Ovis aries: one gene and its partner. The protein of the gene in region 2 interacts with the protein of the main gene of each other region in a pairwise test. Links are inferred from orthologs where the notes say so. Each region holds a gene or a part of one and is shown on either strand. Other genes may lie near its edges.

What was found. The genes of interacting proteins can lie anywhere in the genome.
Region 1: the proteins of FHL3 (region 2) and SAXO1 interact in binary tests that used the Homo sapiens proteins (3 or more experiments, as listed by UniProt). The two-hybrid records come from large-scale screens. The link is inferred for Ovis aries from reciprocal best matches to the Homo sapiens genes FHL3 and SAXO1.

What each region holds. Positions count from the first base shown.
Region 1 is NC_056055.1:87,518,636-87,522,291, reverse strand, and holds the end of SAXO1 (stabilizer of axonemal microtubules 1), read left to right. Parts: intron 1-1,975; coding exon 1,976-2,976; 3' UTR 2,977-3,148; downstream 3,149-3,656. UniProt on the Homo sapiens protein: May play a role in the regulation of cilium length. Stabilizes microtubules at low temperature.
Region 2 is NC_056054.1:12,739,670-12,742,259, reverse strand, and holds the end of FHL3 (four and a half LIM domains protein 3), read left to right. Parts: intron 1-715; coding exon 716-885; intron 886-999; coding exon 1,000-1,476; 3' UTR 1,477-2,054; downstream 2,055-2,590. UniProt on the Homo sapiens protein: Recruited by SOX15 to FOXK1 promoters where it acts as a transcriptional coactivator of FOXK1.

The DNA.
Region 1 (3,656 bases), on a different chromosome or scaffold from region 2:
GCAAAAGTAGGGAGTCGAGAAACACCTGGAGTAACAGGCAAATTTGGCCTTGAAATGTGGAATGAAGCAGGGCAAAGACTAATAGAGTTTTGCCAAGAAAATGCACTGGTCATAGCAAACACCCTCTTCCAACAACACAAGAGAAGACTCTACACATGGACATCACCAGGTGGTCAACACCAAAATCAGATTGGTTATATTCTCTGCAGGAAAAGATGGAGAAGCTCTATACAGTCAAAAACAAGCACATACACAGATACTCAAAAATTTTAATCATTAGGGCAATGTAAATTAAAATACAATGAGATGCCACTACACACCCACTATAGAATGCCTATAATTAAAAAACAAATCATGATAACAAGTGTTGATGTGCAGAAATGAGAACTTTCATACATTGCTTGGTGGGAATGTGAAGTGGCACGCACCACTTTGGAAAAGTTTGCGGTATGTGGAAAAGTTACACATAAATTAAACATATAGCTTAGCAATTTTGCTTCTTGGTATCTACCTAAGGAAAATGAAAAGATGTAGCCTCACACACACTTGTCTATAAATGTTCCTAGCAGAAATTTTCATAATAACGAAATGATGACAACAATCCAAATGCCCATCAAATGAAGAATGGATAAACAAAATTTACTCTAATACTAGTCAACAATAAAAGGGAGTCAACTGGTGCATGCTACGACAGGGATGGACTTCCTTTACGTTATGCTTAGTGGAGGAAGCCAATACAAAACACTATATATTGTGCAATTCCATTCATAGAAAATGTCCAGAAAAGCCACATTTAGAGTGACCAAGAAATGATTAATTATTGCCCAGGGATGAGAATGAAGATAGCAAATTGGCTTGATTAGATTTTTAGGGTGGTGATGGAAATGTTCTATAACTAGATTAAAAAAAATTCTTTTTATTAAAGTATAGTTGATTTACGATGTTTTGTTAATTTATGTGGTACAGCAAGGGATTCAGCGTAACTAGATTTTGATTATAAATTGTTGCACAACTCAGTAGAAATTATTATGTGCGTAAGATGGTGCATTTTATATTTCTATAAATATAAATGGCACATTTACATTTATACGAATTATACCTCAAGAAAGCTGTTTAAAAAAAGTGTGCCTGTGGACTCCACTGGTATTGGCTATATACCTCAAAGACTACTTTTGTTCTCTTTGTAAAGTTGTAGGCAAGAGAATTCCCTGTGGATTCAGAATTGGTTAGCCAGCGCAGTGCCCCTTATTCCCCTGGAGTGCCATATTTGATGTATGTGGAGTGTATGTGTGATGATAGCAACATGATGGCAATCGCCCCATGGATGACCAGGAGGCCTAGCAAGTCTGGCTGGTGGCTCAGTCACTCTTTGCTGATTCACAAGGGCACCTTCCCTTAGAGGAATGGAACTGTTCTTGGATAAGGGAAAACCAGCAGTTGGACTTCTCTGTTGGAGTCCATTCCATGGGTCCACTCATGGCCCTGGACCCTCTACAGTCCCCACATGCAGCACTGTGGGTGTGATGAGACTCCTATAAATTAGTCTCTTCTGCATGTGTGTGCGTGCTAAGTCACTTCAGTCGTGTCTGACTCTTTGTGATCCCATGGACTGTAGCCCACCAGGCTCCTCTGTCCATGGGGATTCTCCAGGCAAGAATAGTGGAGTGGGCTGCCATGCCCTCCTCCAGGAGACCTTCCTGACCCAGGGAGCGAAACTGCATCTCTTACATCTTTTGCATTGGCAGGCGGGTTCTTTACCACTAGCACCACTTGGGAAGCCTTCTGCTGCACAATAATCTGCAAATACCACAAAGCTGAAACATTAAACCCTTGGTTGAGGTGGTGGCAGGGATCTAGTCTGGTTTTCCTCTGTCTCCTGAAACATCTCCCTGAAGACTGGCTTGTGGCTTCTGGGAATACATGCAGGTTGAGTGATGGGATTTATGAATAATCACCGCCTCTGCTTTATTTTCAGCTGACTATTTACCCTGGAACCAACCAAGACGAGAGCTGCTTCGTCCACCTCACCACTACCGGCCAGCATCAACCAAGTTTGATAGTCGCACCACACAGCAGGACGACTACTCCATGAAGGGCCTGGTGAACACCAGGAGCTGTAAGCCTCCAGCTGTGCCCAAGCTCTGTAACATCCCCCTGGAGGATCTGACAAACTACAAGATGAGCTACGTGCCCCACCCCTTGGAGAAGCGCTTTGTGCATGAGCCAGAGAAGTTCAGACCCTGTGAAATCCCCTTTGAAAGCCTCACCACCCACAAAGAGTCATACCGGGGTCTGATGGGGGAGCCAGCCAAGAGCTTGAAACCTGCCAGGCCTTGTGGGCTCGACACGCCATTTTCTAACACCACTGAGTTTAGAGATAAGTACCAAGCCTGGCCAACGCCCCAGGTGTTCTCCAAACCTCCTGCCATGTATGTCCCTCCTGAAGAGAAGATGGACCTTTTGACAACTGTGCAAGCCCACTACACGTACCCTAAGGGTGCCCCAGCTGAGTCCTGCCGACCTGTGCTCTCGGTCAAGAAGGGTGGCCGCTTTGAAGGCTCCACCACGACCAAAGAGGACTACAAGCAGTGGGCCAGCACGCGGACAGAGCCAATCAAGCCCATCCCCCAGCTGAACCTTCCCACTGAGCCCTTGGACTGCCTGACCACCACACGAACCCACTATGTGCCCCACCTGCCCATGATGACCAAAAGCTGCAAGCCCGTCTGGTCTGGGCCCCGAGGAAATATCCCTGTGGAGGGCCAGACCACATACACCATCAGCTTTACTCCTAAGGAAATGAGTAGGTGCCTGGCTTCATACCCTGAGCCTCCTGGCTACATCTTTGAGGAAATAGATGCTTTGGGGCACAGAATATACCGGCCCGTTTCTCAGACAGGCTCTCGGCGGAGCAGCCGTTTTTCTGTAGGTGATTCAGAAAATCCCAACCAGCAGGAGTTGACAGTGTCAGCCTGATTTTTAAAGGCTGTAATTTAGGAATTGCACAATACTTATAAAATCATATGGTTGAGCTATTCATTGGACCAAAAGAGAAAAAAAAAAAAGAATTCCCCAAAACTGAAAAAAAAATTTCATCGTTGTTTCCTGGACACTTGAATAAAACAAGAATCACTTGACTCAAGAAAAATGACATTTAATCACTGGCTAATCAGTCCCCTAACCCTCCCTCTGCTGTCTCCCCATCTTGGCCCCTTTACCCTGTGCTCATGGAATCAAAGCTGGTCTCTGAGGTTTCCTTCCCATCCAGATGTATTTTACTAGTTTAATCATTGTATACATTGACATTATGATCATCCCTTGCCAAGTATGAAGTGCCAAAGAATAAACTTCATTTTGGGGGGTTTGAATCTGCAGGTCTGTGTGTTCACGCCATGTGCTGTCTACGCAGAGAGCAGGCCGTGTTTCTTGCGACCTCTGGGGATATTTGAGCCTAAGTCTCTTGTTGCCTCCTCATCCTGGTAGGGGTGCCTCAGGCCTGATCTGGAGTCTTGTTTTGGGGCCTCTCTGCCCAGGGCTGCTTCACAGGGCATCTTTCTACCTCTTTACATCATGACATACCAGTAACAGCAGTGTTGTCTGATGGGGTATGAGTCTTGTCGTGAGTCTTGCCCATGAACCGGGCACTCAACTGAAGT
Region 2 (2,590 bases):
GTCTGAGGCTTGATAAAGAACTGCCCATGCCACAGGTTCCTGGAAATTGTGTGCAGGATCTGTTGTGCCTGTTTGCTCTTTGGAGCTTAGCACGTGCAAGGACTGACACGCATGACACACACCTGGGGAAATAACACATTTGGCACACATAGTGTACTGAGACTGTCAGTGTTTGTTGCCTTGGGGCTTGTGTGCAAAGACAGAAAAGACAGATACATAGAGGACTTAACACGTGTGGCGACCTGCATGGCTGATAGAATGTGAGGATTTAGAACATGGAGATAGGCATGATGAGGATATGGCCGGGCTTCCTATGTACTGAATCTATCATGTCCTAGACGTTAGACTCGCTTGCCTCGTAGATGGGGTCTCTGTGTGTGTGCTCACACTATCACATCTGGTGTATAAGGGCTTGCTTAGCATACACTGAGTCATCGCGCCCATCACCTGGAGGCCTGGTAGCAGCTGAGGTCATCATATTCTGGGACATGTGAGGACTTCACTTAGGCCAAACCCTCAGGTCACATGCTCAGCCAGCATGTCTGGTGTTGGGGGAAAGTTAGCATGTGCAACATACGAGGTGGGGACCCTGGTGAAAATGCATGGACACCACCTTCAAGGCTGCGGGAGCAGCAGGGACCCTCCTGGAGGGTAGCAGAGGGTGGCACTCAGGAGCTTGGGACACAGCCTCTGACGGGACCCCTGTCCCCCACAGGGTCCCGGAAGCTGGAGTATGGAGGCCAGACGTGGCATGAACACTGCTTCCTGTGCAGCGGCTGTGAGCAGCCGCTGGGCTCCCGTTCCTTTGTGCCCGACAAAGGCGCTCACTACTGCGTGCCCTGCTATGAGAACAAGTTTGCTCCTCGCTGCGCCCGCTGCAGCAAGGTGGGGGCGGCGTGGAGCTCCACTGCACTCAGGGGAGGGGGTGAGCAAGGCTCTGTTGTTGCGGGGTGGGAATCCCCACGCCTCCCCCTCTGCTGACAGAGGCTGCCCCCACAGACGCTGACACAGGGTGGCGTGACATACCGTGACCAGCCCTGGCATCGAGAATGCCTGGTCTGCACTGGGTGCCAGACGCCCCTGGCAGGGCAGCAGTTCACCTCCCGAGAGGACGATCCCTACTGTGTGACCTGTTTTGGAGAACTCTTTGCACCCAAGTGCAGCAGCTGCAAGCGCCCCATCACAGGTGGGTCAGGGGGTCCAAAGACCGAATGGGTCGGGTGTAGGCGGAGGCGGGGGGGGGCAGGGGATCTGGTCTCCATGAGGCCAAGGGACAGGACCGCCCTCCAGACGGCAGCACTAATCCTCAGCCTCCCTCCAGGACTCGGTGGAGGCAAGTATGTGTCCTTCGAAGACCGCCACTGGCACCACAGCTGCTTCTCCTGCGCCCGCTGCTCCACCTCCCTGGTGGGTCAGGGCTTCGTGCCGGATGGAGACCAAGTGCTGTGCCAGGGCTGCAGCCAGGCAGGGCCCTGAGCCAGGGCTCCGGGACTAAGGCTTCTCCTCCAGACCGCCTCTGGGACCCAGCCTTTCCCCAGTTTGGGGCTCCCCTTGGGTTCCAGGATTCAGCCTCCCCACTCCAGCGTCCTCAATCTGGTACTTCCTGACCCAGGGCCCCCAAACTTGGGCTCTCCCGGAGCCTTCATCATTCAAACCCCCTCCTCAAATCTGAACTCCAGAACTCTGTCCTCTCCCTTTGGGTCGGGCTTGCTTCCCAGACCAAGCCCTTTCTCCAAATCAGGGCTCTGGGACCCAATCCCCCTTCAATGTAGACTTGTCTACAAAGACTTTAGGTCTCCTTTGGGTGCCTGAGAGGTCCTCAAAAGTCAAATATACTCAGGCTTGACGCTCCCCACCCCTGTCCCACTGGGATCCCCAAGGATGGGGCTGTCTGGGCAGCACTGGTTAGGGGGTCCTAGGGTACAGGTTTTTGCCCATCCCGTGTTGTGTTTTCTCTTTTCATTTCAGCTCCATTTTGCCCAGAGATGGGCAGAGGGGTGGGTTTGGCTTGCCCCCGTTTCAGATTCTGCAATAAAGCAGTATGAGAAAGTGAAGGCCTCTGTTTGGCTGGGGGTAGGGGGAGCGGGCGGAGGTGGGTGGAGGGGCAAGGAAGGTTCCTTCGCCATAGCTAGGGAATTCGGAGGCTCTTCCCACCTCCTCCCCGCAGGACAGAAGGAAGCTTCCAGGCGGGGTGGGAAATCTCTCCAGAGAAAGGGGATCCCCGCCGCCGCTACCGTCCCTCTCTGGTTTAGCCGGCCTCCCTTCCACCTCCCCCGCCTGCTGGCAAAGGGCTTTTTCCTCCAGTGAGGAAGGGAGGGATTTAGGGAGTTTGCGGACCGGAGCCGGCGCGGGGGCGGCTGGTGTTGGGTTCTCCGTCAGGTACAAGTCACTCCCCTCCCTTAACAGCCCCCCACGAACCCCACGGAGCATCCAGTGCGAATCCCGAGTCTGGGCCCAGACCCTCAGCCCCCTTCCCCCTCTTTCCTAGGATTAGCGGAGGCGGCCCGGGATCCGCTCGCGGCTGCACGTTTTTTGCCAAAAAAGGCAAGGACGCAGCTGCACGCGCCGCGGGAACATCTGGATCCGATTC